Linked DNA regions of Xenopus tropicalis. The protein of the gene in region 1 interacts with the protein of each later gene in a biochemical or structural test. Links are inferred from orthologs where the notes say so. Each region holds a gene or a part of one and is shown in the gene's direction. Other genes may lie near its edges. The genes, in order: map3k1, mapk1, map2k4 and ikbkb.

The links.
Region 2: of the proteins of map3k1 (region 1) and mapk1, one has a biochemical effect on the other in vitro, tested with the Homo sapiens proteins (3 studies listed by BioGRID). The link is inferred for Xenopus tropicalis from reciprocal best matches to the Homo sapiens genes MAP3K1 and MAPK1.
Region 3: of the proteins of map3k1 (region 1) and map2k4, one has a biochemical effect on the other in vitro, tested with the Homo sapiens proteins (7 studies listed by BioGRID and IntAct, with this or other methods). The link is inferred for Xenopus tropicalis from reciprocal best matches to the Homo sapiens genes MAP3K1 and MAP2K4.
Region 4: of the proteins of map3k1 (region 1) and ikbkb, one has a biochemical effect on the other in vitro, tested with the Homo sapiens proteins (3 studies listed by BioGRID and IntAct). The link is inferred for Xenopus tropicalis from reciprocal best matches to the Homo sapiens genes MAP3K1 and IKBKB.

What each region holds. Positions count from the first base shown.
Region 1 is NC_030677.2:190,957,433-190,965,800, reverse strand, and holds the start of map3k1 (mitogen-activated protein kinase kinase kinase 1), read left to right. Parts: upstream 1-4,029; 5' UTR 4,030-4,308; coding exon 4,309-4,613; intron 4,614-6,332; exon of another isoform or gene 6,333-6,347; coding exon of another isoform or gene 6,348-6,367; intron 6,368-8,368. UniProt on the Homo sapiens protein: Component of a protein kinase signal transduction cascade. Activates the ERK and JNK kinase pathways by phosphorylation of MAP2K1 and MAP2K4. May phosphorylate the MAPK8/JNK1 kinase.
Region 2 is NC_030677.2:154,008,530-154,016,917, forward strand, and holds the start of mapk1 (mitogen-activated protein kinase 1), read left to right. Parts: upstream 1-4,044; 5' UTR 4,045-4,105; coding exon 4,106-4,233; intron 4,234-8,388. UniProt on the Homo sapiens protein: Serine/threonine kinase which acts as an essential component of the MAP kinase signal transduction pathway. MAPK1/ERK2 and MAPK3/ERK1 are the 2 MAPKs which play an important role in the MAPK/ERK cascade.
Region 3 is NC_030686.2:46,929,810-46,937,864, forward strand, and holds the start of map2k4 (dual specificity mitogen-activated protein kinase kinase 4), read left to right. Parts: upstream 1-3,967; 5' UTR 3,968-3,987; coding exon 3,988-3,994; intron 3,995-8,055. UniProt on the Homo sapiens protein: Dual specificity protein kinase which acts as an essential component of the MAP kinase signal transduction pathway. Essential component of the stress-activated protein kinase/c-Jun N-terminal kinase (SAP/JNK) signaling pathway.
Region 4 is NC_030679.2:130,599,377-130,606,969, forward strand, and holds part of ikbkb (inhibitor of nuclear factor kappa-B kinase subunit beta), read left to right. Parts: intron 1-98; coding exon 99-187; intron 188-1,278; coding exon 1,279-1,368; intron 1,369-2,762; coding exon 2,763-2,887; intron 2,888-3,629; coding exon 3,630-3,737; intron 3,738-4,640; coding exon 4,641-4,770; intron 4,771-5,730; coding exon 5,731-5,925; intron 5,926-6,422; coding exon 6,423-6,537; intron 6,538-6,714; coding exon 6,715-6,838; intron 6,839-6,947; coding exon 6,948-7,099; intron 7,100-7,593.

The sequences.
Region 1 (8,368 bases):
ATTAAGACTTAGGGGCTGATTTACTAACCCACGAATCCGACCCGAATTGGAAAAGTTCCGACTTGAAAACGAACATTTTGCGACTTTTTCGTATGTTTTGTGATTTTTTCGGATTCTTTACGAATTTTTCGTTACCAATACGATTTTTGCGTAAAAACGCGAGTTTTTCGTAGCCATTACGAAAGTTGCGTAAAATCTGGCGATTTTTCGTAGCGTTAAAACTTGCGCAAAAAGTTGCGCTTTTTTCATAGCGTTAAAACTTACGCGAAACTTTGCACCTTTTAAGTTTTAACGCTACGAAAAATGCGCAACTTTTCGCGTAAGTTTTAACGCTACGAAAAATGCGCAACTTTTTACGCAACTTTCGTAATGGATACGAAAAACTCGCGTTTTTACGCAAAAATCGTATTGGTAACGAAAAATTCGTAAAGAATCCGAAAAAATCGCAAAACATACGAAAAAATCGCAAAATACCGATCATTACGAAAAAAACGCAATCGGACTCATTTCGACCCGTTCGTGGGTAAGTAAATCAGCCCCTTAGAATGCACAAGGAGCATTTATAAGAAATGGAATTTCTAAACTTATGAATCGCCATCTTAGTACAGGTATGGGACCCATTATCCAGAATGCTCGGGACCTGGGGTTTTCCAGATCAGAGGTCTTTATGTAATTCGGATCTACTACCTTAAGTCTATTAAACAAATAATTTAAACATTAAATAAACACAATAGGGTTGTTTTGGCTCCAGTAAGGATTAATTATATCTTAGTTGGGATCAAGTACAAGGTACTTTTTAATTATTACAGAGAAAAAGGAAATCATTTTCAAAAATGTGAATTCTTTGATTAAAATGGAGTCTATGGGAGATAGCCTTTCCGGAATTCGGAACTTTCTGGATAAGGGATCCAATACCTGTATTTAGGAAAGGAACAAGGTAGCAGCTAGTGAAACCAGACTACTGACATTCAATAAAAGTCACAGGATAACTACAAGTACCCTAGCAATAGATTCTTGCTGCAGCTGTCATGACATGGGGTGCATCTGTGGCATGGAAGAAAGAACAAATAAACTGCGCTATAAGGATGGCCCCAGCACTTGTGTCCTTAGGAATAAGCTAGAAGAAAGGCTTTCTCTCAGAACAGTAGCTGCAAGAAACTGTTCGACTCCCAAGAGGTCCAATATTTGAAAGAATTTTGTCTCAGCAGTTGTTCAGATGGCACAGCAGGTGTATTCTTTTATCACTATGTTATTGAATGCTCAAATACTGTGTAAATGAATTTACTGACAAATGGTAGCTTGCTTAGCATGGCCATTACAACACCATACATATATAATATGAAAAATATTATAGGCCTATACAGGCAATCTGTGGATTTTTGGCAAATGCCAGAGCGGCTGCTGTAAGATACCATAGACAGTCACTATTTATTGGGCTGGTGGAGACTGTTTGGGGCTCTGGGTACTGGAAATGCCAGAGCCTATTTTGAACCTTAGTCCCAGAGCCAGCATATTATTATTATTTATCATAGCACCACTATGTCACATCATGCTCAGTTCCATTTGTCGGAGCTAGGTGGGTTATTTACAGAGAAGCTGCCTGAAGTGATTCCCAAAGACAACAATGTAAAAGTTATTTCCAGGCAGGAAGCACTATCTTTTGTGGTCTCTGTTGAAACAGGAAACACTGTAGCTGCAGGCAAAAGGGTCTCCTGACCAAAAACACACAATGCCCATCCCTTTGGCCCCAGGGATTTACTTGTGATTGTCTGTGGTTGTAGCCTGTCTGAGAGAAAGAGTGAGTATAAAGGCAGGACTACACTGGGGGTTTTTTTTATCAGATTTTGTAAGGCAGACTTTATCTGACCCACAGGATCTTGTCAAGTTCACAGCACAAGATGCTACAAAATCTGATGCTCCATGTTGTAATGTAAAATATGATCAGATGGCTTCTTGTTTTTTAATACATCTACATCCAACAATCAATGTATTTTCAATGATAAAAAAATCTTTTAGACTGAATCAGATTTTATTTTGTCAGAGAAAAATGTACCATGCAGCATTCCCTTCTGACAGTCATGTTGTATCCAATGGCAAATATTTCATTATGTTTACTGGCCAGATTGAGTTACTGACCATTATTTTTAAACATATGCAACTACAGTATAAAATGTAATCTGTCAATCCAACCACATCCAACAAAATTTCCCATGCAGTTCTGTGTCCCTGAAGTGTTGGAGTAAAGGGGACCATACTCGGGCCAGTTTCAGCTGCCGATATCAGTCCTATAGACTGATTCAGCAGCTTACCTGCCCATGTATGGGCACCACTGACGGGCCTCCAAACCGACATCTGGCATATCGGGAGAAGATCCGCTCACTTGGCAATCTCTTCAAATGAACAGATCTTACAGTGTATGCCCTTCTTAAGGGTTTTACCATATACAAAAATCCAAAAAGTAGGAAAAAAGCTTCAGCAGATTTACTGCAAACCATTTATTGTGGGTAAACACTACTCAACAAATGGTTTGCAGTAAATCTGCTGAAGCTTTTTTCCTACTTTTTGGATTTTTGCAGTTGAATTTGGTTGCAGCACAGAGCAACAACTAGGAGCTAAAGCTTTTTTCGTAAGTACTTTATACAAAGTTCACCAATATTTTTTTATTTTTGAGGGTTTTACCATATGTTTGTATGTCAGTCTGTATGTTTAGGTACTGTTTAGTATGTGTATAAGTATGTATCTATGTGCATTTGGGTGTCATTTGTTTCTACAATATAAATACTGACAACAGTTAGCTAAAACAGTGAAGACCCATAAATACATATAAACATGCCAGTTTTGACCTAATGCAATATTTTGGGATAGTCAAAAACTGATCTTACTTGCTGAATGTGTATGATCAGGCGAATTTGGCCACAGCACATACATTACTTGGGGTCACCAGTTCCCTGGATGCTGTAACCCAAGATTCTGATGAACAGATCTGAAGGCAATCTAACAATTACATCATAATAAATTCCCTGGTTCACAGTTTTCTTTGTTACTCAGTATATGAAATTTCTGAGTAAGTTAATGTAACAAGGTTTTTTTAAACAGAAAAAAGCAGGTTGATTTATAGTAATAGCAAGATGTCTCAAACATAATTGCCTATAAGGGTCATCTTATGGGGGTAAAAGGTATGTATTAAACAAAATCATTGATGTATATAGTGTACCTAGTTTCGTACTTTATATGCTTTCTCTTTTAATCCAGTAACTTTGAAGCCAGAAAGTTTTCCATATATAGCTTACCTTGCCTTCTGATAACCTAAAAGGGCCCATACAGTAATAAAGGGGTCCCCCCCCAAAAAAGTCACACTGCCATAGCCAGCACCCTCATACTAGGGTAGAAGAGCTGCATAGGCCTAAAACCTATTCAACAATATGATGATAGCTCAGATATTAACTGAATGATCACTGAAATGTAATTACTAGCTACAAAGTCTACAGCTACAGTCCCTAGTTTTTTAATCTACAAATATTCCTGATTCCTAGAACAGCATAGAAGCATAAAGATGATCATAAAGGCCACTAGACAGAGGGAAAAAAAATGGACCCTGCAAGTGAAAGTTGGGGCCCCAATAATCAGGGCTGGGCCATAACTTAAACATCCATAACATGGCTATCAGGCAGCAGAGATTACTCACTGTGCTAAATATGTCATTTTCACTTTATTACCTGTGGCATTTTATAGCCAAGGATTATAATCTGAAGCCCAGAGCAAATGAAGTGCCCTAGAAGCTGAGGTACTGAGCCAACACCTCTGCCCCACACTGCTGCCGTGCCCCGCACTTAGCTGTCAGGTACGGTTTTCAAACTCCGTGCCCTCCCCTCACATCCGCCTTGTGTGGGAGTCGAGAGCATCACAGGTCACGCCCACTTCCAACTACGCGCCCCACACGTAAACTGCGTAAGACCGACCGATACTGTACCTTTTACCTCGGTTCTTACTCCTACTACGTAAAGCCGCACTTGTCCACGGCATTGCTAGCAACACGCGGTGGAGAAAAAGTTATGGTAATCTGTAAACGGCTGTGGCGAGATAAAATGTAATTTCTATTGACAGGCGGCGACGCCTTATGCCACAAAGAATTTTGAAACGTATACTTGGTAAGCTATATATTAGTTTGTGGCTACGCTGTTTGCGTACCTGTCCGATACTAGCGCTTCAGGTTACGCAGATTCCGTACTTGGCTAACTACGCCCAGGACATGTTGAACACGCCCCTCGGCTGGGTTGTCGCTACGGATGTAAACCTGGCCCGAGGAAGATGGCGGCCGCGGCGGGGAGTCGGAGCGTGTCGTCTGGATTAACGGCAGCCGCGGGCGGCGTAGCGGGCTCCGGTAGCCCGGAGACAGGGGGGCAAAGACTTCCAGAAGGGGCTCCGGGGGAGGCAGGGGGCGAGCAGCGAGCCGACTGGAGGCGCAAGCAGCTGCGCAAAGTTCGGAGTGTGGAAGTGGATAAGCTGGCGGGGAGAGAGCCGGAACCTCCGCACGTATTGGCTGCCGGAGTGAGGGAACAGGAGCCTGCTGCGGGGAGCGAACCCGAGGAGCCTTCGGCGGCACACAGCTCATGGTGAGAGGGGAATACCTGGGCATAGTGTCCCATGCTTGGGCAGGAGTGTGCCACCTGTGCCACTTACAGCACCGTACTGCCCATCTACTACCTCTTTAGCTGCTACTGAACTACAACTTCCAGCCTGCCCTGAACATTCCTATAGGCATTAAACTTAGTGCTTGGCAAGTGTACGGTTGCCACCTGTGCCACTTGCTTACCTGCAGCCTTAGTACCTGCAGGGCTCTCCTGTCCTTACCAAATTGTTAAATTATAACCCTCAACATATCCTGAACGTTGTACTGGGCAGTAGCGTTTGGGGGTTTTGTGTTTCAGACACCCTGGAAGCTGTTATGGTCTGGTAGGGATTGTAGTTGAACTACATCAGGAGTGTTTCATGTTAGACTCTGTTGTGCTTATAGCCTGACAAGGGGCTACTTAGAGGGTAACGTATAGTGGGCATTTGCCCTGGGCTGCCAGTATCACAGGAGCACTGTAGTGGGAAAATGTTTAATAATAGATATATTACTGTGTTCCTAAGGGATGCCCATCCTGCACCCTCAGCTCTTGTTGAACTGCAAGTACTTGACATCCCTCTGACATCTAGAGGAAGAGCAGTACCACAATAGTGTTTCGTGCCAATAACGAATGCATAGGTGTGCAGCTTGCCAGCCTACCAATCATCATTCTGTGTGACGGGCATGGTGTGTTCTGCTGCTGTCAGTTGCTTGAAATGAAACGTTTCCTCTGAGATTGCTGGAACTGCTTCTTTACCGCTGAATTGGTGTGTTGGCATGCACTCGTCATACATTCTTTTTTGGTGCCTTTATTGGTAGCTGCCAGTATCCGCTTTAGTGGCACAAGAACAGTAAGTAGAGCATGATTGTCTTCCGGGAGAGTGGCCACACATCTCTTATACGATGGGGCTAAATAGGGAAAAATAGTCTGTTATCTAAGCTGTTTGAGATTGCTGGGAGTTGTAGTTCCAAAAACAGTTGGGTTTTGGCAGGCTGGACGTCTGCGTTGATGCTTTGGCATTGTCTTTTAGCCTAATTGGCTTGTAATTGGTCATGCTGTTGTGGTGATCCCTCATGATCTGATGTAGAACTGGACAAAGTGCTTGTTTCCTGTTTCTTTTGCTTTGAGACATTCAGAAATCGCAATCTTGTGCCTGTGCTTCTAGCTGCCTCCGAGTAGCGTGCAGTTACACTTTATGGATGTAATTCCATTAATATGTGCGTATTTGGGTATAGCACCTTTTGTCTGCCAAAGGAACTAGTGTTGTAGCACTCTGGGCCATTTTGACATCTGATTTTGCTCCTTTCTAGATATGCATGTTCTGTATGTATAAATAGATTCCTGTGTTCCGGCACATGAAGCTTAATTCTGCAGCATTTCCTATAATAAGTCTTAGTGAAAGACAGAAATGTTGGTCGATTTAGCTTGTGCATGCAGTGCTATACGGTATGGCAGTCTGGTACAATTGGAGTTAATGGGCAGTAGTGTTTCTTTTCCCCTCTTTATTTGCAATTACGCTGGGCAAACCTAGGGGTCATGCAGAATCTCTCCCTTCCTGTCAGCTGCTTTCTCTCCCTTCTCCCATCTCCATTTGTAGCACACAATGCCTGCTCTGTTCCCCCTGTGTTTCCCAGCCTGGGTTACCTGTCACTTTGGTAGGATGTGGGAGCCCCCATGTGAAATTACTGGAAGTTAGCCTTTGTAGAAGTGGTTTTGCCTCTGGCAACCCTACTATTTATGGAAATCAATCTTTGTAGGTAAGTGTAGATTATCCTGTAATGAGTGAAGTCCATAATCCTCCCTTGTGCTGCAAAGTCATATGATTTCTGTAAGGCAATATTAACTTCTGCTGGCTCTGTGTTCTGCTAGGTAACTGGTTCTGCTGGGTATGCAGGTTTTTATATGATATACTAGATGCTACAGCCATATATTGCCTTTGATATATATATATATATATATATATATATATATATATATATATCTGAAAGGCAATGTTATATATATATATATATTAAAAATGTGTTTTATTTCTGTGCAGAATAAAATATCTAAACTGGTGGCTGGTAGTAAGTAATACATGGTAAAGTACAATTTGCTTTCCTCATTTCAGTTTAGGAAGTTACATTGTTGTTTGCCTTTAAATCATTTTCTCTGCTCACAGTTGAGTTCTGGATAAATATTCAAGTTACGACAAGTAAATAAGTGTATGTTTCAGTAAAGGACAGCTGCAATTTGGAAACTATAGAAAAGCTTATAAAATTATGTTGAGCCCATTGTTTGTTAGATTAGAAATGGTTATATATCCAGTAACTAAGATAAGGCGCTCAGCTATACCTAGTGCTTTTTGTAGCATCAGGTGCTTATACTTGAAAATAAATTTCTTTTGAGAAATGGTTTATATGTGTTGTCATTGTTAGTACATAGGTAAATGTTGGTTAGACCGTTTTCACCCATATCACGCATGGCTATGTGGATTGAACGGTCAGGAATGCACTGTAGGGCAGCTACATTTAGTAAAAAAATAGAAGGTGGTTTTGCTGTAATATATTTTATTAGGGCACTGCAATTCTTACACTAGTTGTTCTATATAACCTGCTATTTTGTGGATTGCAGGCACATTTAGTAGTTACTGAAGGTTGTTAAAGGGGTGGTTCACCTTTAAATTAACTTTTTTAATATGTTATAGAATGTTCTATTCGTAGCAACTTTGCAATTGATCTTCATTGTTTATTTGTTATAGTTTAATTATTCACCTTCCACCTCTACATATTTCCAGCTTTCTAATGGGGGTCACTGACCCCGGCAGCCAAAACACTATTGCTCTGTGATCTTACAATTTTATTAGTATTCTTACTTTATATTACTTATCTTTCTACTCAGTCCATTTACTATTCATATCCCTGTCTCTTATTCAACCTACTACCTGGTTAATAAGGTAAAGAAGACCCTAGCAACCAGATATCTGCTAAAAAAACACAGGAGAGCTGCTGAGCAAAAAGCTAAATAACCGAAAAAGCATAAAAAACAAAACACAGTTGCAAATTGTCTCAGAATATCAATGTTGGTCATACTAGAAGTTAATTTAAAGGGGAACAACCACTTTAAGGTAGCATGTATAAGCTGACCTGTACCCTACTGACAGTCCGGCTTGTTGGCAGAATGGACAGATAATATAAAATGACCTTTTTTTTGTGTTACGTTGATTTGGCCAATTACTGAACTATTGAAACAACAGGAAATGAAGAGGATCTGTGGCTTCCCCTCACTTCCTTTCAGCTAAGCAATATACATTTTCCATCAGAACAGATGATGCTCAATCCTACAGTATTGCAGCAATATCTCTAAAAACAACAACCCCCTCAATTTGCCCAGTTTGGGTAATAAGGTAGAAATCAGCCAAACTACACTACCATATCTGGACATGTATAGCCAGTCCAAACTGGAGACGACAAGTCTGTGGTTCAGGTGACAGTATCTGAGCGCTCTGACATTCTCACCCCCACCCTATCACCAGGATGTATATCAGAGGGCACACCCATTCAGTAGCCTGAAAATGTTTTATTTTCAGCTGCTATTGATTCAAAGTGACTTTGAAGAGGGAGAAAAAACATTGCAGACAATAAAGCTGTTTATATGACTCCAACAGCAACCTGAAATCATTATTATTGACCTCTAGGATTTCACAAAATAATTGCTGTTTCCACGTTTTCAAATCCCTCAAGTTCAGTTGTATTTGCATTGTTGCTTGGGCCTTGTTC
Region 2 (8,388 bases), about 37 Mb from region 1:
CCCAGGTACAATATTTAATGTACCTGGGTGCCAGTGTATGCATATCTTATATCTTCTAAAGTGCTACTTAGAATACATTAATACAAACAGGGGGTTATTAAGATAATAGATATATACAAAGTATTACAATAAACACAAATAAATAAAAGATATAGTTGCAATAAACTATATCTGTAATGTATTTGTATATAATGAGTATAATGTATTTTAATAATGTAATAAATAATGTAATAAAGTATGTCTTTTATATGAATATACTTGTGCAAGCCCTCAGTATGGGTATTTCCTTGTCCTTGATCTTTAGTGTAATTGTCTCACTTCACCTTCTGGCCCTGCCTCTCTGACACTGATTGCCAACCACAAGCATGAGCAGGACCAGAGTAGCTTTAACTGCACTTGCTCCTATTGGATGACCATTGCCAGGGAGCCATGGAAAACATGAATTGGCCAGACATTGCACACTGCACTACTCTACCTTTACTGACCAGCTACGGGGAAGTTTAGCCGTACTTGGGAATGTAGATGCTCCAGTTTGGCAGAGGATTCTAAGTTAATGGCACCAAGGCTGTAGAATGCAGAACTCCTATAATAAAATTATGATTAAAGTTATATTATAATTATTTTTTTTAATATTTTTAGGCAGCATGGGTTAGCAGTAGGACTAGCACCTTTTAAAAAAAAAAAAAAAAAAATACCAGCCTTTCATATTTTTATGTTTCTTTCATATTAATAACACTGCCATCAAGCACTATTTTTACAAAAGTGGCAACCCTAGTAAGCAAAAGTGTCCAGATTTCTCCAATAATATATATATAACCTCTAACCACCTGCCAATGAGCGATACCTGGAGCAATTCACTGCAAGTCTGCCAACAGCCCTGTGTGAGCACATTACTTTCTTAAATGGTAGGTAAGCAAATTTCACACAGCAGATTACAGATAAGCCTCAGGTGCCAACAACGTAGATTGTATTTTATCTTAAACTTGTGACCAGTAGGTTAGAGCAGCCCAGCTAGGGTTGTCACATTTGCTGGGCTTTAAGGGCTCTGGTACACGGGGAGATTAGTCGCCCGCGGCAAAACTCCCTGCTCGCGGGCGACTAATCTCCCCGAGTTGCCTTCCCTCTGCCATCCCACCGGCGAACATGTAAGTCGCCGGCGGGATGGCAGACGCGGCGGCGCGATTTCGCGCAAATCGCCGAAAAAGACTCGCGAGGCTTTTTCGGCGATTTCCCGAAATCGCCTCGCCGCGTCTGCCATCCCGCCGGCGACTTACATGTTCGCCGGTGGGATGGCAGAGGGAAGGCAACTCGGGGAGATTAGTCGCCCGCGAGCAGGGAGTTTTGCCGCGGGCGACTAATCTCCCCGTGTACCAGAGCCCTAAACCTAGGCAAAGGTGCGGTGGACCTCTAACATCAGGAGGCTTGTGTGCTGACGTTGCCAGCATAAGCAATGATGTTGATTATGGAATAATGATGCTAAAAAGGACACAGCTATTTCCCGAAGTCGCCTCTCAAGGAAACTTTGGGCAACTTCAGGAAATCGTAGCGTCATCGCAGCATGCCAACCCACAGGCGATTTACATTGTTCCCGGTGGGATGGCATTGCAGTAACGAAGATTTGTTGCGGGGCGACTAATCTCCCCATGTGCTACTGCCCTTAGTTATGATGGGTCCAAGTGCTCATGCCCCAGACCTTCAGCTTAGGGAGCCATTAGAAAATTCACATTAGAAATGCAGGCAGGCACTCTGGATCACCAAAAAAACGTTTTAAGGCAGCTCAATTCAGAGTAAAAACATTCTTAGTTTATTATGTCCATACAGAATGCCAAGAATGTTTTAACTCTGAATTGAGCTGCCTTGAAACGTTTTATTTGGTGATCCAGAGTGCCTGCCTGCATTTCTAATGTAAACTGAATTCAGTTATGAAATAATGATGTCAGAGGCAGTATTCTGGCCAGTGTAATGACAGGGGTGGCATTATTACCTTAGAAACAATCTGGTGGATTTCCATGCTCATCGGATGTATGGCAACCCTACGCCCAGCATGGTCTACAATAAATTCATCAGTTCACCCTTCTGGGTTCTTCCCTTTATTCAGGTTTACATTATGGCTTGGCAAATACATCTTGTTTTTTGAATCAGTGTTGGACTGGAGTGCCAAAGACCAGAAAACCTTAGCAAGCAGGTCCTTTCATATTATCATCATTTGTCCTTCCCTCATTTCTTCTCTTTGTTCTCATTTAGAAATAGGAAATCCCATGGCCTGTGTCCCACATTAGGGTTGCCACATTAACAGGAAAAAAATACCACTCTTCCTATATAGTTTTCTTTTTTCGTTGTTAATAACATTGGGATTAAGCATCATTTTTACTGACCAGGCTGGTAAGATACCAGCAATATGGCATCCCTAGCCCACAGGGAGTTTTCAAAGCTGTCACCTTAGGCTGATGCCACACGTGGCGTTTTTAGGCTGCATATTTTCTCAGCCTAAAAATGCTGCACAAGCCACACAGCCCCTGACTATGGCGTTTTTCAGCCTAGTACTGGTGACGTAGCAAATCCCGTTTCCTTGGTGCTAATAGTGCGAAATAGTAAAAAATGCTGCGTATTTCCGCTAGGTCTGGCAGCTGCCTTTGTGTATACATAGGAATAGCTTGCTTTGCAAATACTGGCGTATTTCGGCCAACACTTGAAAAATCCGTGCTAAGGCGTTTTCAAGCGTATTTACGCTTTGTGTGGTTTGCTTCACGTCTTTTCAAGTTATTTCTATGGATGATGATATCGGGCGTTTTTCAGCCGCTGAGAAAATTAGAAAATACGCAGCGCAAAAACGCCTCGTGTGGCATCAGCCTTACTACTGGCATGGCCAGGGGACTCTATGGCACACGCATTGTGTGGCGTGGCCAAATGTGGATTCCCAGTGACATCACTGCGCATGCACTGACATTACTGGGTGCTTAATCTGCATGTACAAGCAGAAAGCTCACTACACATGCACATTTTTTTTTTAAATGGGTGATTACCACAGGTTTCCAGGAGGATATGGGGTACAAGTTCCTGAATCAGGTAACACTGGGGAAAACTTGGAGAGTTCACAGCTTTGTTTCCCTGATATCCTGGTTGACCAGTCTGACACTGCTTTAGATTATAAAATGTTTTTCTGTAACTAAGAGCGTTTTTTAAGGTAACTAGAGATGGCTAGACATGGAAGACCCTGATAATTTTGCTAAACGTACTAGATCCCATGTCAGTAAACTCTGGGCACTCCTGAAATATGCTATGTACCTATGTAAACAACGGTTTCAGTATACACAGGCGCCAGGTAACATTGGCAGCTCCTTACAGGCCAATAGGATAAAAAAAATATTTTATTGTATGAAGCAGGACTGTTTCCATGGGGTTTTATACTGTTTTGCTGTACAGTATGTACAATAACGTAACCCCACATTCTGTAATTACCAATTACAAGAACGCAACTATTACTGAAAAATATTGCAGATCATTTCCCATGGCAGCAAAGACGCGTCCAATCAACACCAGAGAAGACGCTACAGCCGCCGTACTGCGATCGATGCGTTCAGTCTAGGCAGGAAGCGCTTGGCGAGAGACGTCAAAAGACCTCTAATTCTGCTGTCAGGATCCGTATTGAAGTTTTATTTTCTAGCTTCTGCCGGACTACACTTCCCAGCAGCCTCCAGTATAATCGATCATTTTCTAAAGCGGGAATAAATCAGTAACCGGGAAGCCGTAAATCAAACACACCCTGTGAAAACAGAGAGTTTAGCAAAGAAAAAAAAAAAAAAAGCAGAGCCGTACGAGTCCACGCCCACTGCAGCAAAGCGTGAGGGGAGTTGCGCCTTTCCAAGGCCCTGCCCGTAGTTCCGCCCCACACACACCCAGCGGGCGGGAAGGCGTTAGCTCGGCAGCGCCTCACACAGCGTACGACTGAGCCAGTGCAGCGAGCCTGGGGCGCCGCCTCGTCATCCGCTCTGTCGCTCCCCACCAGAGAGGCAGCCACACCCACGGAGGCGCAGACGGACCGAGCCGTGTAATACCCACAGCAGCTCCGGAGAAACTCTCCCCGACGCATTAAATCAAGCAAAACATGGCAGCGGCAGGGGCCTCGTCTAACCCCGGCGGGGGGCCGGAGATGGTGCGAGGGCAGGCGTTCGACGTAGGCCCGCGATATACCAACCTGTCATATATCGGGGAGGGAGCGTACGGCATGGTTTGGTAAGTGCATGGGGTACGGGCGGATCTCCTTCTAATCCTAGTCATGGCCTTTTCCTTCTTCAGGCCTGTGCGTGTTGGGATCTGTCCCGGCCCTCTCCAGCTTGTGCAGCCACCTCCCCACGCACTGCCACTGCTCCACTAGGGACTGCGTGCTCTCGGCTCCCGGCTGCCAGCTCCGGCCTTTCTGCCGCTTCAACTCGGCATTTGTTCGCTAATATTTCTTTCCCATTATTTAGTGTTGGGAATTGTGTTGCACCTGCACCCAGCAATCCCGTCATAGCCAGCAATCATTTTGCATGCAGCACTGGTGCACATTAGGGTATTGCTTTCCCCCAAATGCAGATTTGTGCTTCCTTTCCCTGTAGTTGGATTATTGCGCCTTCCAGGCTTTCTTTGCTGTGTTGGTAACCTTTGTAAAGCTGAATTAGAGAATCATCCCCGCAATGTACCCTTAAACCCACCCATACAGCCTGTTACAGTTTTAGTTAATGAAATAGGAATGTATAATGTTTGACCCATCAGGGCTTGATGAACTAATTACTCCTGCATCCACTGACAGCCAGGGCTTTGGGAATTGTTCTTGGAGAACAGATGGAGGCCATGTTGTACTTGCATTTAATACTGTATGCGTGCAAGATATTTAAGATACAATGCTGTGGGCGTATTTATAACTTGTTATGAGTTAGAGGTTTGCACCATTGCAGTTAGTCCTGTTTGAAATATGCTCAAAAGTTAAGTTCAAGAAGTAAGGTTAAAAAGGCAATTTGACATTTGTATATTGTTGTATTTTATCAGTATTGTTGTATTTTATCAGTTATTTATGTTTGTTTCCTTTTTCCCAGTGTCGTGCAGGTTCTTACATTATCCCCATCCCATATATATGCTGTAGCACCAGAGTGTAGGACAAATGCGCTCACAGCCCTAAACAGCACATAGTTTAGTTTACTACTGTCTCATTGGTCTGCTAGTCTATAAACTTAGAACTGTGTTCATTGTAACTTTATGGACTTTTTATAAGTACAGTAAAAGTGGGAGTATTGTTTTTTTTTTTTTTGTAAACCAAGATAGACATCCATATCCTGTGCGACACAAGCCAAAGGTGACTTTTATATTAACTTCTCATTTTCAGTTTAATAACCAGTGTTTAGCTATACCTAGGGCCAACCTACATTCCGTGTGGGAACAGTTTTTCTAAATGGCATTGCGTAATCTCCTCAGATCACAGCACTTTTCAGTATAAATCTGCTAAAATGATGGTTCCATTGTGTTGTGTGGGAAGGCATTGGCCGACTCTAAAGTGACAAGTGCCAGCCCTCCTCCACAGTGATTCTTTTAATTCAGTTTTTCATATCAGAGCCTAAATGCACAGAGATATGCAGTTTGGACATAAGCAGGACACTGTGCCTCAGTCCAGCTAGAAATATAGATTAGAATGTGTGTCCTTGGTACATGGGTGACATCAATTTTATTGTAGATATAATTTGCTGTATTAATATTATCAGGTTTCATTATGTTTTAGGAGCTTGAACAGGCCCAAATATCTCCAAGGTTTAAAATCTTACATTTTCAGGCATGCAGTACAAGAGATTAAAGGGGTACACTGGCAGATTTAAGCTGCCAAGGTGGGCAGGTTTGACCTTAGGGCCTGATAATTGAATTAGCCCTATATTGCCCACCTAAGGTGGGCAAATCGGGGGAAGATCCGCTCGTTCAGCGACCTCACCAAATGGGCGGATCTCTACATGCCTAGCCACCTTAACATAGGGTTGCACACCACTTTTACTTGATTGTTACTGCTTGTATAGTTGTTGATCAATGAATTATTAAAGGGTGCACATATTGTCAAGAACAGACTTTTGCTGTTCCACTATGTAAGAAATGAACCTTTTAAAATTTGTCTTTCTCACTGCTAAAGTATTCCCAAAAACCTTACAAGCATGACCCAGGTGTTCACTTCTGGCTGGCTGCTTCCTCTGGTTGTGCAGGAGAGCCAGAAATACTCAGCACTTTGCATTGTAGAGTGCCAGCCAATCCCAGTCTAGTGGTCTTCAGTTATCCGCTCCCCTAGCTGTAGGCACAGGGTGGTAAACTTGAGCCTCTCTTCCTCTGTGGTGAGTTGTTGGACCTATTTTAGAATCTTGCTATTTGTCCAGTGGACCTGACTGGGAACTGCATATTACCTTTCCCTGTGTTAAGAGAAGAGATAGGATTGGCTACCCACATCCACACGGGGAAGTGAATTAGAACAGCTTTACGCTAAAATTTTCTGACTAACCAACTTGTATCCATGACTTATAGCTATGGCTTGTAATTGATGGGCCGCTATATGCATACCATTAATTGTAAGATATTATTGATATGCTTTTTGCCAGATTTATCCAGTTACTGAATTTTTTAATAAAAGGAAGCTGATGGTGCCATCATGGCAGATTTGCTTCTGTTCTGGCTCACTGACTTCAATTCCAAACATAGGTATAACAGCCTAATAGGCTCTGCCCATTGGACTCTATAATGCAGAGACACAATCATATACCGTAATGCAGAAAAGCAGCAGATCTGCCAAGATGGCTGTGACAAAAATAAGGCTATTTGCCAAGGGGCCTCTCTTGTCAACACCGGGAAAATTTGTACCGGTGCAGTAATCCAAACTTGAAGCGTATGTACACCCATACCTTCCCGTGGACAGTTAGGCTTAGTGCTCAATGATAGAGGCATTGGCACCCTCGCAATTCAGCCATAAGAAAATTTACTGGCACACAGAACTTATCCAAGCAGGGTGAACAGTTTTTAATGCAGAAGTGCATCATTTTGGGGCCATGCCCCTTTGTCAAGCAAATGGCAATTTTCCTCCATCTATAGGTAGAACAATTGAAGCCAATATGTTATTGGTAGCCATTGGTTAATACCAAGGTGCACATTCGCCCAGGTCCTACCTTTCACTGCAAAGTGCTAACTTGGGTCACCAGGGGTACCTTACAAAAGGTTCGCTACATTACAGCCTTTCCTTGTCCTTTAAGTAATAGTGAACTACACAAAACTAAATTATTTTGCAAAAAATATGTAAATTGCCATAACCTGACATGGTAGTATCTCTAATGTTAAGCATGAAAGGTTTATGGCCAGTGCCACACGTGACATATTTTGGGCCTGTAGAGAACCATAAGTCATGAATATGCTCCTAATAGCTAATTGCGTCAGCCCAAGTGCAGGCGCACACAGCTGATTTCAGTGCCAAAATGCATACTTATGCAGTTCCACTATTTTGTATATTTTATAGCCCTTTAAAGGACCGTGTATGAATATGTATATCTTAAGGGCACTGGTACACTGTAATGTGATAAAACACCTGGAATTTTTGCTAGTGCAAAATGTAATACAGTGGGTCCACACCCACTGGTGATCATCATTATATCTATGCAGACCGCTTAGAAGAAAACCCCATCAGCATACTGCCCCAGCCAAGCAGAATCTTCTGCCTGATCTTTTTATTGGATATGACTGTGGGAAAGCCCTATGAATTGTCTAAAATGCCTCCACACACAGTGTGCAGCTTTTAAAGTTTTTACCTTCATATGGCCAGCTTAAGGGCCAGGGCACACTAAGCAGATCCACTCCATTTTCCCTCAATTAAGACTTGAAAAAAAATATATATATATATTCAGTTGTCTTTTGTCCTTAGTTGCCCTTTAAAATTTTGTGTATTATGTTAAGCCCTAGACTGATTAGTTTCCAAAATTGGAACCACACCTATAACTGAGAAATAATTGTCAAGTACAGATACAAACATGTATGTGTACAGCATACCAAAAAAAAAAAACATGAAAAGTTAAAAAAAACAAAAAAAAACTCACACAGCCTTCCATGTAAGTACACTCACAAATATCATAGCTACAGTGGGAATTTTTTCTTCTCTTAATAGTAAAGCTGGCCATACATGCACCAATATTATTGTGCGAAACAAGGTTTTGGTGATATTCGGTGCGTGTATGGTGGATCGACAAGACAGCCATTATCTGAAAAGTTTCTTATACCAGTCATCTTGTTGATCTGGCGGGACAAAAGATTTTGATGTTGTTGAGCAAAATCTGCGTTTAGGGTTGAATCATTAGTTAGAGGTTGAATCTCTATTGTTTTTACCTCCATATTTGACTATTC
Region 3 (8,055 bases), on another chromosome or scaffold:
CAGTACCCACAACGCTCAGCTGTACCCATGCCCCCCCATTACTGCCCTGAGCTCAGCAGACCCCACCCTTATACCTCGCTCAGCTCCTCTTTGCGAAGTTCCTCCAATCGCTTCTCTTTTCGCAGAAGCCTCTTTGTCCTGCTCATAGAAGGAAAATGGACAGACTTTAAAGGCCCCCATACACGGGCCGATAATAGCTGCCGATATTCGTCCCTTGGACCGACTCGGCAGCTTATCTCCCCGTGTAGGGGCAGAAACGAGCAGACTGGCCGACCGATATTTGGCCTGAAATTGGGCAGATATCGATCGGCCAGGTTAAAAGATTCAGTCGGTTCGGGGGCCGCATCGGCTCGTTGATGCGGTCCCAGAACCGACTGATACATTGCCGCCTATATAATCCGGATTTCTTTTTTTTTTAACTTCGAGCTCCCCGATATCACCGACCCGTAGGTGGGGATATCGGAGGAAGATCCGCTCGCTTGGCGATCTTGCAAAATGAGCGGATCTTACCGTGTATGGGGACCTTAACTTGTCTTTGTACAAGTTTTGGCCTGAAAGGGATGCCGTAGTGAGGCATTGGTGTGGCTTTAATAACTGGCATCTCCTCTTCCTGCCAGGAACAGAAATGCACAAAGTCAGTACAGACACCAGGCTTTCCGTCTCCCCCCCCCCATACCCACAGATGCCAGTCCCAGCAATAGCACCCCCAGTACAGAGCTGTAGGCTCCCCTAATAGTGGCCAATGGGGCCCAGTGTCCCGGCTCCTCACCTTCTCTTCCTGCGCTGGAAGGCGCACTCTGTTCTTCAGAGCAAAAGCAGGAGAATGAGGCACCATCACTGGGAGAAGTGGGGTCTTTGGGTTTCTTAGTTTGGGTCGGACCATCTTCACTGGGGTGGGGCCTATGAGGGAAGGACAACAGTCAGTATGTACGTTATACAGGGATTACTACAATACCCACACCCTTGATGTGCCACATACCCTCCAGCTCCCTCTGGCGGCTGCGCAGGTGGTACCGTGCTGGAGTTTTCTTAGAGAAGGAAATAACCTGCTCGGCGGTGCAGACATACTCCGAAGCCTCCTCGTGCTTGCGCTTGTCTGTTCCTCAGATCAGTCAGCTGAGGAAGGGGCTGGTGAGTGGCTGTACATGCACCATGGAGGGGTAACCAGGGGGTGAGGGTGCCTGTTGCCCGTTTATGCCCTGGATCATACAGTCTATTGCACAAACCATATCCAGTACATAATGGCGGGTATGCAGGGGTGTGTCTGGGCAATGAGGGGGCAGAGTATGTCAATTCTAAATATTGGATGCCTATATTGGAGGGGGTCTGTTTTTAGGTCTCCCTGTATGTAAATATGTAAGCTTTATATTTTAAAAAATAAATAATATGTAATAAACTCTAAGTTGTCATTTGTCTAATTGATTCTGGCTCCTCCCATCAGCCAATAGGGCATGTAGCCAGGGGGCTTGTGTGTCCCACTGCAGCAGGAAACTCAGCCATTTGCACCACTGTGGTCTTGGGCCGATGGGCGGAGTTGCACCCAGTAAGTCGGTGCAGCGTGGGGTTCTACTTTGGCTCTATTTGCGTAATGGTCTTCTAACGGCCAATGGGATTAGTGCTATGTGCCTGGTAGCTCTAATTGCCTCAGTGGAACATTGCAATGCCCTGACTCATTCATTGGCTGTAAGCATCACGCACACTCTCTTAAAGGAGCCGCTCTTTGCCAACTGCCCATTGGAAATAGGGGCCCCATGGGGCAGTTCTTAAGATGAAATATCCCCTTACTGCAAGTGCCCCCAGATCATGTAATTGCTGGAGTATATATCTGTATCAGTATGAGACACCCCCATACCCTGCACCCAAATAGAACAATCATCAGTTCACAAAACGTTGCACCATTTCTCTTTAGGCCGGTCACTTTAGCCGAGCAGCCTATGGCTTCCTTTATATCTGTTCCCCTCTCCAATCAACTTTTTAAAAACTTTTTATATTTTTTCATTAGTTCAGTAACTGTTGGTCCATAAATACTTGTCACATGGTATGTGGGGGTAACCGGAAAGGAAAAACAGTAGAACAAAATGGCGCTCTAACCCACTTTGGGTGCTTACATATTGCTGAAGGAGGAGATATTAAAGCCATTGAGTGACCCCATATTGTACCCTATGATAGCCCGAGGTGAGGGGGCCCTACCCATAGACTTGTGCCCGAGAGAGATGCTCTCTGGTTAGTACCCAGGTGCCCCATATCTCCAGATAGAATTCTATCTTGTTATCCAGTTGGTATTTGAGGACTTTGTTGCCAATCAACGTTTTAATGAAAGTAGTTGTTCTTCAGAGCCCCATAACCCGCCGGCACAGCTCTTGCTGTAAATAGGGGCCAGAATTGATGCCTGTTTTCCCCCCACAGAATGAATGACCCCGCTAACTGAACCCCAAAACACTTTCTCCAGATTCACAAACAGAAATCCGCCTAAATTCCGACTCAACCACCACTTTTCTGTTTTTGGTGAAAGAAAGACAGTTTACAGACACTTTTGTGAATTTGTCGTTTAAACGACATTTATACAACGTTTTGACGACATTTTTCCCGACATTTTTCCTCGACATTTTCAAAATGGAGTAAAGCTCAGTGTAACTCTGTCAGACCAATTCTAAGCTCTTCTATTTTGTTTGGTTTCCCCCAGTCTCCATCTCACAGCTCTGGTAGGAGCCCCATTGTGGGATCAGTAACATATTAATGGGGATTAGCAGCCTATTGTTAGGGGGCAAGTTTCTGTCTCACCCTAGAACAATAGGGGCAAAAAGCCTCATTAACATTTTATAAACAAGTAAACCACTGATTAAAAAAAGTTGAATTTATATCTTATATATAAAAAGTTTTTACCTCACATTTGCATGATTATGGGAGTTTCAGCTTAATCAATGAGGCAATAATAACATTTTGTGTGAATATATTGTATACATTTTTATTTAAAGGAAAAGTAAAGCCTCCCAGGCAAATGTTTAGTTTTAGCAGCAGTGCCTCCTCTTTAATCACTTCACTGACATTTGCCCCAACTTATCTGTGCCCCCATAGCATGCCCAGAACTACAGAGCTGCCTGACAGCATTGGCCCCCACCTGTTCCCAGCCGCCATCTTGGTGGCACATACACACTGGCCCCCAAACTGGGATATTGGGGTGCAGGGCTGGACTGGCCCAACAGGGCGCTGGATAGATACCCAGTGGGCCCTAGTCCTGTTGGGCCCCTATTCAGTGGCCATGTTGGTGTGGGGCCGGATTGCTGCTGCCCAGTTATGAGTAGGGGCTAGAGAAGACGGTATTTAGACCCTTAAATCTTGTTACAAAAGGGGAATTACACAGACATATAGAAACCATTAGAAAGCCCAGCTTGGCCTGAAATAAATGCTGTATAGTTTCCCTGGGCAAACTGAAATTACCCCTCAGGAAATGCCCCAAAGTGAAATGGCAAAGCCTGCGGGTAAAAGGCTCCTGTCGCTGTGGGACTGGGTTTGATGGCACAGACAGATTTACTAACAGCTAAAGGCAAATTCATTAAAAAAATGTCGGGAAAATGACAAAATCTGAAAACTGTCTGTTTAAAAGACATTCACAAAAATGGAGATTCACTTTTGTGAATTCCCCGCTAGGTGGCGCTGCACAGGAGTAGCCGGACACACAGCAGAGCAATAGTCCCAGCACTACTAGACTTTCTCCACAAGAGGCCCCGCCTATGCTCCCAGCGTCATGCCGATCGTTGCATAGGAGGCGGGGTGGTGGAGACGTCATTTGGAGGCGGGGCTGTGACGCCAGCGCGGGGGATTGTGGGAAGGGGGCAGGCTCAGTGGGGGTTGCTGCATTGCAGCCTTCATTTGGTAGCGAATATATTAACAATGGCGACTTCCAACCCCAGTAACAGCGGCAGCAGCGGTACCAGTGCGGGCCTCGGGCTCCAAGGGCAGTCTCAGCAACACAGCACCGTCAACAGCATGCAGGGTAAGCGGCCCCCCAGCCCCAGCCCTCTGTATCTCTCATTGTCTCCCAGCACCCCCAGCCTGTCTCCCACTGTCACCCAGCACCCCCAGCCTGTCTCCCACTGTCACCCAGCACCCCCAGCCTGTCTCCCACTGTCACCCAGCACCCCCAGCCTGTCTCCCACTGTCACCCAGCACCCCCAGCCTGTCCTCTCCTCTGTCTCCCACTGTCACCCAGCACCCCCAGCCTGTCTCCCACTGTCTCCCACTGTCACCCAGCACCCCAGCCTGTCTCCCACTGTCACCCACTGTCTCCCAGCACCCCCAGCCTGTCTCCCACTGTCTCCCACTGTCACCCAGCACCCCCAGCCTGTCTCCCACTGTCAACGGCCCAGGCTGGGGGTGCTTCGAAGAACCAGTGGGTACGGATTGGAGACAGGCAGCAACCACCCCATTGCCTGTGGCGTCCCAGCTGTCAGCCGGTGCTTGGGTGCGACGTTGGGTTGCAGTGGAGGCCTGGGGGTGCTTGAGGTGGCGTGGTCAGTGGGAGACAGGCTGGCAAGGCGTGTGGCTCCTCGGGGAAAGCCAGCATGGGCTGACAAGTTCGGGAGACCCAGAGCGCTCTGTCTGCGTGCTCGCGTGACAGTGGAGACAGGCCCTACGTGGGCTGGGGGTGCTCGGCGTGGTGACAGTTTGGGAGAGCAGTGGCTGCACACGACACTGTCACCACGCACCCAGCCCTGTCTCCACTGTCACCACTGGGGCAGCACATCCTCAGCGTGTCTCGCCTGTCACCCACTCTCCGGCACCCCAGCTGTCTCCAATGCCCACTGTTTCCCACTGTCACCCAGCACCCGCCGCCTGTCTCCACTGTCACCCACTGTCACCCCAAGCACCCCCAGACCTGATCTCCCAACTGTCCACCCACTGTGGCGCCGTCAGCTAGAGCGGCGCGCAGAGACCTCGTCATTGCTCTCGACTCGTGTACTCCCCACTGATGCACGGGAGACAGCTGGTGCTGGGTTGCAGTGGGCGACAGGCCTCGGGGGTGCTGGGTTGAAGTGGGCAGACCAGTGGGGAGACCCAGCAACCACCCAAGACCTGTGCTCGCACTGTCCACCCAGCACCCCCAGCCTGTCTCCCACTGTCCCGGCACTGTCACCCCACGCACCCCAGCCGGGTGCGCGTCTAGCCTGGGTTGGACCACGTCTGGTGTCTACCCACTGTCACCGCAGCACGAGCCCCCAGCCCTGTCTTCGCGCGACTGTCTGACACTGTCTCGGTCGCAGCGTCACCCAGCACCTGGCAGCACAAATAGAAGAAGATACAGAGGACTAGAGCTTTAGGGCCGCCCTTATCCCTGCATGCTGGTTATGACGCAGTGCGTTTTGCGAGAACCTGCACCTTGGCAGAAACACGAAGGCCACGCAAACTGTGACCGACCTGCTGACCAGCCATGTATACTGGGGTTGAAGTCCGACCAATTGTTAATAATATTCAACTACCAAAAATGAAAGCGCTGACATATGCAGAAACGCACCCACTGAGACCAAGCACCACACTTCCCACAATCCCACCGCGCTGGGCGTCACAGCCCCCGCCTCCAATGAACGAATCGCTCCACACCCCGCCTCCTATGCAACGAATCGGCATAGAACGTTTGGGAGCATAGGCGGGGCCTCTTGTGGAAGAGCTCTCAGTTAAGTGCTGGGACTAATTGCTCCCTGCTGTGTTGTCCGGCTAAGCTCCTGAGCACGCCAACCTAGCGGGGAATTCACAAAAGTGAAATCATCCATTTATTGTGAATGTTTTTAAACAGACAGTTTCAGAATTTTGATCATTTTCCGACCCATTTATTATAATGAATTTGAGCCCTTTAAGCTGGTTAGTAAAGTTGTCTGTGCCATCATAACACCGAGTCCACATAGCGACAGGACCTTTTTACCCGCAGGGTTTAGCCAATTTCACTTTTCGGGGGCATTTCCTGAGGGGTAAATTTCAGTTTCCCAGGGAATACTAATACAGCATTTATTTCAGGCCAAGACTGGCTTTTCTAATGGGTTTCTATAATGTTGTGTATTCCACCCTCCTGTAACAAGATATTAAGGGTCTAAATACGTCTATCTCTAGTCCCCACTACCACAATAACTGGGCAGCAGCAATCACGGCCCACACACCTAACATAGGCCCACTTGAAACCTCCAAGGCCTGTGCTCGCACTGTCCCCAACTACCCACATAGTCATACCGGGCAGCACCCGACAGCCTGCGCCTCGGTTGTCTCTTACTGTCTCCCACTGATCACCGCAGCAGAACCTGTGGGCCAGTCCAGCGCAGCATCAGCTGCACCCTCATCACTCTGATCCCTCCCACTGATCATGTTCCGGGGCCCAGCTAGTGATACTGGCTCTCGCGCACCTCTATCACTCGCCACTAGATGTCGCGGCTGGGAATCCCACGCGATGCGACCCGCCGACCTCAGACCTCCCTACTCTCGCGGTTCTCGCACCAGCCCCTCTCGTAGTATGCCCTGGGAATCATCGCTCTCATCAGCGGCTCTACCCACCAGCGGGACCATTTAAATATGCCCATTGCCTGCGCCTCGCAATACCTGCATGTGCACTGCCTCGACTGTACAATCATATCGAGCAGGCACCTGCGCTCAGGCCTGATAACCTAACTAAACATTTCGCGCCCTTGGAGTGCTACTTTACTCTTTTACCTTTGTACACATCACAAAATGTAGTACACAGCAATTATCTCAACCTCCACACCACATAGATCTCTTGTACTTCATTGCTCATTGATTAAGCTTGAACTCGCCTAATCATCGCAAATGTAGGTAAAAACTCATCTTGTTTATATACTACACAGCATACTGACCCAACAGCTCTCGATCATCTTTTTCCTCTTAATCTCCAGCGCACTGGTCTCACCAAGTCATCCCAGCCTGATCTACCCACTAGCTCTCCCTACTGTCTATTTCTCTCAGCATTCACTCACGACATAGTCGCTGTCTACCTCGACGTCGTCCGAGCTTTCTTGCAGCCTACTCCCTAGCGCTGTCTCTCCACTTGTCACTAGCGTGACAGACTGCGAGTACATCCCAAGCACCTAACTCGCCACGCCTGTACTACCAACTGTATGGTCCTGACATCTAGATCACCCATTAAAATGTTACTGATCGCAACAATGGGGCTCCCAGCACGTCAATCGCCAGCCCAGTGTCATGGCCCCTACTGTCGACGGTGGAGACTGGGCACTGTAATCACCCCACAAACAGACAAGAAAGACAGAAGCCCCTTCCAGCACACTTTTGGTCTCCCAGGCTGTCCTGACACAGGCAGGTTCTATTTCTGAGCATCTGTAGCCTCCTAGACTCCACCCAATTTTTTTGAAATGTCGAGGGAAACACAATGCGAACCGTGTGGATACACCAACATGTCGCCTTTCCAAACTGTACCACCACCGCTTTGTAATAATGATTGCCGTACCTTAACACCGGACCAGAACTCTGTTCACTCCACTACCATAAATGTCTGTTAACCTAGTCCTTCTCTTTCAAACCACAGAGCACCCCAGAAAAGTGCGTGCGGCCAGTCTGACTGTTCCCGGTAATCTTGCCACGGTCACTCCACTGTCTCATCTTCTGGTTCCTGTGCATCTAGCAGCACCCAGCACTGTCTCCCAACTGTCTCCCACAAGTCACACGTTTCATGCAACCTGCCCAGCGGCTGCGCTCTCCCTAGTTATCTCGTGCTCGCCACTGTCTTAATGTTCCCCCAGCACCCGCCAGTCCTTGTCTCGGCCACTGTCTGCGCCACTGTCTCCCACGGTCTCGCGCACTGTCTCACACTGTCAACAACCAGGCCATGTCTATATCACCCAGCACCCAGCCAGCTGTTCAATTCCCATGTTCTCCCACCAGTAAGCACGGCTGTGCCGGCCGGGGTCAGCTATCCCCAGACTCGTGGGCCTTCTCCTCCTTGTCTCCCACTGATAGCGAAACCCAACTACAGCTACCCCACTCCTGCCGCTCTCCATCTTGAATCTACAACACTGTCACCTGCACAGCATCTCGCCC
Region 4 (7,593 bases), on another chromosome or scaffold:
CTAATTACAATACATTAACAAGAGCTAAGATATACAACAGGGGATTTAGAGGGCCCTGTTTGCCAGGTTTAAAGGTTTCATCCTTCTCTAATTCTCAGCCTCTGCCCTTCGATACCTCCATGAGAACAGGATAATCCACAGAGATCTGAAGCCAGAGAACATTGTTCTGCAGCCAGGACCCCAGAGAGTAAGTGTCACCTTTTAAATGTACTCTGTATATATAATTGCTGCTAATATACTGCTCAAAAAGGGATATAATTACAGTTAATGTACAACAAAGTAATGCATGTGTTTCTAGTGTCGGCTCAACAGAGCAGATCTGCCTGAATAGTCATTAAAAATGTTATAGAAGCTAAAGAATAAAAATACAGCAAAAGTGAATTCAGTACACATTGGTCTCTTAATGGCTCCGTTACTCAAAGGCAAACAAACGTTTTTTTTTAAACTGTCAGATTCACTTATTTTTATCTTATTTCATTAATGCAGTGATCCCCAACCAGTGGCTCGTGAGCAACATGGTGCTCCCCAACCCCTTGGATGTTGCTCCCAGTGGCCTCAAAGCCGCTGCTTATTTTTGAATTTCTGGTTAGGAGGCAAGTTTTGGTTGCATAAAAACCCAGTGTAATTGCCAAACAGAGCCTCCTGTAGGCTGCCAGTCCACAGGGGGCTATCAAATAGCCATTTATAGCTCTTATTTGCACCCCTAGGAACATTTTTCATGCTTGTGTTACTCCCCTACACTTTTTTAATTTGAATGTGGCTCACAGGTATAAATGGTTGGGGATCCCTGCCTTAATAGAAAGTTTTTTTTTTCAGACACTTAACAAAGGTACTTTAGCTGCTAAACTTTATTCACTTTGCTGACGAATGAGGGATGAATATAGGAGGATGATTACACTACACAGATTATATTTGATGTACAGGCACTGTGTTAGCATTCCCCCCTTACACCACACACACCCTGTTTAAAGAGATGGCATCATAAAATCAGCCTTTTCTGCTTGCACTGAACAAAAAGCATATTTCCTGCGAATGACAATGCTAGCATCTGTTTCCTTCTAGTTCTTAGTAGCTCATTTCCACTCATAAGGGTGATCAGTCTGTGGGTCACTGCTGTTTGTCCAACTGTGAATGGCTAGATCAGACAGTATCCAATCACTTAAATGGTACATAATAGAACCAGAACACAGGAGTCAGTGTTAGTTCTAAGAGTAATACATTAGCACTAAGTATATGGCTCTTTAACCTGCAATGGTTGTGCTTTCCTCTCTCTTTCAGCTGATCCATAAAATTATTGATTTGGGATATGCCAAGGAGCTTGATCAGGGGAGTCTATGCACATCCTTTGTGGGTACCCTGCAGTATTTGGTAAGCACCTTGTATATATTCTGCTTCACCCTCTTGTGGTTTGGAAGCCCAACAGCTTGAAGCTCCCCGAGAGCTGGATTGGGCAGTCTTCATCATTCCAGGTGACATATAACTACAACTCCCAATATTAACTCACCTACTGCAGAAAGGGAGAGAATTCTGCAACATCAAACATTGGCGATTCCTGCCCCAGATGTGCCTTTATTTTTAATGTTATTGTCCGCCACCCTTTTTCTTGCCTCCTTTTTCCAGCCCACCCCATCACTCAAATATCTTCTGCTCTTTTCTGCCCTGTTATCCACCTACTCTTTTATCCGTATCATTATCAGCTTTCCATAATGTGAAGGTAGTCATACATGCAGAGATATTAATGTATGGCCAACAAAACCTTTGTTATATAGATCAATAATTATTAATATGAAGGCTGCTTTCTTGGAAATATAATGCTTGAAAGCAAGAACAGTTGGTCGGGGACCAATCAGGCACACCATTCACCACCATTTTCATCACACTGACTGTACATGAACAGAAAATATAATTTGTTTGAAGCTACAATTTTTGAAAAACCTATATTTTGAAAAACAATATCCATGGTACAAGGATGTCTGTCCCAAATCACACAAAACTGTATCTAACAACAATTTCTGTATGTGCATGGCCTGCTTAAAGGGATTCTGTTATGGGAAAACCATGTTTTTTATCAAAACACATCAGTTAATAGAGCTTGAAATCCATTTTTCTAAAGAGCAAACACATTTTTTATGTTTGATTTTGAAATGTCACATGGGGCTAGCCATATTCTTCATTTCTCAGGGTGCCACAGCCATGTGACCTGTGCTCTGATAAACTTCAGCCATACTTAACTGCTGAGCTGCATGTTGCGTGATATCCCCCCCCCCCCCCCCCCCGCAATCGATTAGCAGCACAATGGGAAGGGAGCAAGACAACTGCTAAAAAATGCTCCCGCCTAGTGGTAGATATCAGAATAGCACTCAATAGTAAAAATCCAAGTCTGGATCATGATTCCTCCAGTCACATGGGAGTTGGGAAAAATAATTGCTTATCCGAAAGCAGTTCTAATGTGTAGCGCTGGCATCTCTGAAAGCTCAGACTCAGGCACAGTGCATTGAGATGCTGCCTACACACCAACATTACAGCTAAAAAAAAAAAAATATATTTATTGGTTCAAAAATACATTTTTAAATGGTAGAGTGAATGTGAACAGTGTAATATAGTAATAAAAACTAAACCAGAAAAATCATGATGGAATCCCTTTGTTTTTTGTACGTCCTTCCTGTGCTACTCACCAATATGTTGTGCCAGTTTCCTTCCATTTCATTTTTTCTTATTGCTGATACCCTTATCCTTATGTTCTGTGCTTTGCCTTTACACAGGCCCCAGAATTACTAGAGCAGAAGAAGTACACAGTGACTGTTGATTACTGGAGTTTTGGGACACTAGCCTTTGAATGTATAACAGGATTCCGACCTTTCCTTCCCAACTGGCAACCTGTTCAGTGGTGAGACACTTAACCTAACTTAACCTTACCCAGTACTGCCATCTAGTGGCCAAACACTGCAGGTACCCCAAAACAGCTTTAGTGACCCCCTTACACTTTATGTGGTTGGGAAAAATTAAACTGCTCTAGAGTGATAGTCAGCAGTCCTATTAAGCGATGCTGCTTACCTTAAATCATAGTTTTATTTTCTAATTCTGTTTAGTATTATTCTGATCACATTTTTACTTTTTCGATACAACTATGGGGTCTGTTATTCAGAAACTCATTCTCCAGAAAGCTCCAAAAATACAGCAATGCCATTTCTTGTAGAGTCCTATCTTGGCAAACAATTCTTGTAATTTGACTGATTTCCATTATATCTGTAATTTCAAAACAGTACATTGTACTTGATGGTAACTAAACTGGATGTTAGTGGCAAAATAATCCCATTTGTATTTATGTATAACTTTATTTATAAAGCACTACAAGGATACGCAGCGCAGTACAATCTTACAATATACACAATTACACACCGGGAGGACAAGTGTTATAAATTGTACAACAAATAAGTATAAATACACAGAGACAAAGTGCCGTGTGGTGTTAGACACAGTAGGAAAGATGTCCCTGCCCCATAGAGCTTACAATTTAAGCTTACAATCTATTTAATCCTGTTTAAATGATTCAAGTAGCTTTAAGGCACGGTAATCCAAATTACAGTATTTCCAAGTAATAGTGACCTGTATGTTCCTTTGGACTCTAGGCATGGAAAAGTGCGAGAGAAAAGCAATGAGCACATTGTGGTATACGAGGACCTGATGGGAGCAGTAAAGTTCTCCAGTGTCTTACCAACACCCAATCATCTGAACAGGTACGATGTCCTTGCCTCCAGGGTTGATCACATACACACAGTATTGAGGCACTTCTACCTAAATACTGCCATTGCCTGTACACTTTATGTTTTTTTTTCTTCTCTTTTGCTCCCTTTAAGTTATGTTAAAAACAAACAATCAGAAAATATGATGTTTTGTAACTATTTTAGATATTACATAAGCCTTCTTTTAATACATGTAAAAGCAAAAGAGAACAGGAAAGTGCAAAGATGGAGAGAGAGAGGGCAGAGGGGAACCAATCCAACCTTTTATCTTGTTCAGAGTATGTAAAAACATAAACCATGGCAAATGTTGAGCCATGTTGTCAGCAGTATTCAGTTTATACCTGTGTCACGGTGCCATGTATTGCTACTGTAGGGTGCCAATTGTCTACCACTTTCTTTTGATCATGTCTAGATAAATCAGTCTCATTTGGTTTCATACTGAACAGGTACCAAAATTCTCATTGGATGTTTATAGTTTAGCTTAGTTTTGTTCTAGTCTTAAAGTGCCCAGTTGAGCCAGCCCATTGGCTTGTGTTAGAGCCCAAAACAATACCCATACATACTGTTTGATACATAAATGTGGGCAGATATCATTTTGACACAGTTGAATATTCTGTGGACAACATCCATGGCAATGAGGCTCTTGGTTGCAAGATGACTGTAGTTTGCCTAATCAATACCTTAATGAGTCTGAGTGACTCACCGTGTGATATGATCATTGGCTTGATTGGGTGTCAAAAATACTGGTTTTCAATTTAGCTCTATGATGAATCCCAGAGCCTTACAACTGTCAGACCATATTAGTCCATGTTTCAAGTTTGTGGCAGGCTGTCTAGCTCAAGATGTTCGCTACTTGCACATGCAATAAATTGGAATTAAATATTTCTTTTGTTTTAGCAAGCTGGCTGGCAAGTTGGAACACTGGCTACAATGCATGCTAATGTGGCACCAGAGACAGAGAGGCACAGATCCACAGAACCCTAATGTTGGTTGTTTCCAGGCCTTGGATTCCATCCTAAGCCTTAAGGTAAGTGTCGGTATGAAGCTTTGGGTGTACAAGCAACATTTACAGTAAAGAACACAACACAGAATCTGTAATTTTTTGGTGGGAAATCAATATGTCTGCTGTCATGTCCTTTCTTCTGTTTCTTGTTTTCTGTTTTAGCCTTGTCATTCTATATATGGTTTTATTTTTTATCATTCTCTACTTTCATATATCAGTTAAAGATAAGGGTGTACTTTCTCTGAATACATTCCAGAGACACAGGAATCACCCCTGGGGTAAAGGCATCACTTCACAGGACTAGTAGTGGTTAGGTCCAGCTTCTATCTTCATAGCCTTTACACCTCCCAAGCAGTCTTTCCAGTGTCAATTACATACAGTGGGTAGGCCAAGGTCTAAATGAATACAATTAAGTTACTCTGTCCCCTGCAAGTTCCCAATGTGTGAAGGATCCACCAGATGTCTGGTAAATTAAATGGCATTGATATAAACCACATAAAGATGTTGCACACTAAAAAGAGCCATACAAAGGTGGTATTGCAGTTGAAAAGCTTTATATAAAATTATTGTATAACAATAATTCAACATTCATAAGATATGTACACAATATCAAAACAAAAATCAAACCTATACGTACCACCCAGCAATAAACAGCAAAAAAGGTGAAGGCAGATACTCTGGATGAGAGAACTGCCCCAAAGTTTCAAGAAAAGCACCAGAACCAACAGGATAGACCTGCATATATGTTTATACAACACCCTCTCTTAAGATATAAGGACCACAGACCATGTAAGGTGGTTTCTAATGTTCCTAAATGTTGAAGCAGGGGATTGCTTATTTTTTAATACACGTTTCAATGGGCTATGGGTGATTTATATATGATAACCTCACTAAGCACTACTTATAAGGATATATATCACAGGTTTTTATAAACATATATGTTATTGCTGATATATTGATGTACATGTGTATATATCCCCCCAGCTGTTGTCTGTACTGAACATGGTGTCTGGCAAGGTGCACACTTACCCGGTGTCAGAGAATGAAAACCTGCAGAATCTGAAGAGTCGCCTGGAGCAAGACACAGGGATTCCTGAGGAAGAGCAGGAACTATTGCAGGCATCAGGATTGGCCCTTAATCCTGCCCAGCCTCTAACCCAGTTTGTGGTAGACTGCACGGTAAGAGTCTTCTCATGCTCACCGCAAAATGACATTATGAAAGCACAAATATGGCAAAAAAAATGTTTTGTGTCATGTGACACAAGGCTAGTGTGGTTCAACTTAAAATGCAACTTTAAATTATATTTCTGTAAGCAGCCTTTCTTTGCAGGTCACAGTATCTGGTGGAACTGTTAATGAAAGGAAAACCATTGTCTTTTTGACTTCAGAGAGTGACCATATAGGCATATGTTTCACTGCTTAATTACAGCTCTTAAGTGCAATATACAGATTCAAATATTCATATTACTTTCAGTACAGCAAGTGTAGTAAAACCCTCAACTGTTCTAGTTCATTCCACCTGCAGTTGTTCTTGCATTCTAGATCTGACCTTGCCATATAAGATGCTGGCTGCTGGTGGGAGTTGTAACTGCTTGAGGGTCATAGGCCAATATCTTTGTTGTCTATAAACTGGAATTATTTTAATCAATAAGTGTCTTATTTGCTTTTGTCTACAGGTCAATGATGGGCGCCAGGGCGAGGGTGATCTGATATTTCTATTTGATAACCGGAAGACTGTATATGAGCCCCAGATATCACTGCCGGCACATCCCGAGAGTGTCACCGTTATATGTGAGTGCCACTGATATTTGGCTTGTAATGGCAAGGGATATACATGTATATGTATATTCCTCTTGCCTGAGGACTCAGACGTTTGCCTATGCCTTCAGGGTTTATACATCTGTCTAATCCTGAGGTTTGTGGTTTGTTGATGGTGATGTGACACTGTGGCACTTAATTCTATTCCAGTGCAGGATCCCAAGCGGCCCCTCACTTACACCCACCTTCGCCGCGTGTGGGGGCAGACCTGGCAGACAATACGAGCGATGAAAGAGGATTGTGCCCGTCTGCTTCATGGGCAGCGTACCTTTATGTGAGTATGAGAGCTCTGCGTGTGGGTGGGACAGACAGTATGTGTGGCAGATGTGTGTTTCTCCATGTATTATGCATAAGTGCTGAGGGCATATCTCTATGTTATGTAGGGTAAACCTGCTGCGATACAATACTGAACTTTCCAAAAAGAAGAACCTCATGACTTCTGAGTTTGAGCAGCTAAAGGCCAAACTGGATTTCTTCCGGAACAGTATCCAGATTGATCTAGAAAAATACAGTGAACAGATGGAGTTTGGAATCAGTAAGTTACTGGCTGGGCCCTCTGTCGACTTTTATTGCTTAGTAAAGAGAACTATAGTGATTTATTGACTTTGCTGTAACCTCTGACACACTGTTATTATGCACAGCTTTTTTTTTTTTTCTTTAGACAACCACTAAACAGCATTCATAGTCATCATAAATGGCTTTCTGTATTAACAGCAAGCAGTATGGGAGCTTCCAGTCTTCTGTATAAATACAGTTTTACACAGAGGAATGATCTGTGCATATCAAACTATGGCCTCTTAGTTTACAGCATTAAGATAAAATTAAAGCTCTGCTTAGGATACGGAAGGTACCCGTTCTGTTATATGCAGATTTAAAGGAGAACTAAACCCTAAAAATGAATATGTCTAGAAATGCCAGTTTTTATATATTGAACTTGTGAAATGTGAACAGGGCAAAATCTGCACCATGCAGTGTTACTATTGTGAAATAGCATATTCATAAAAGAGCAAATTTCTCTTTATTACTGTT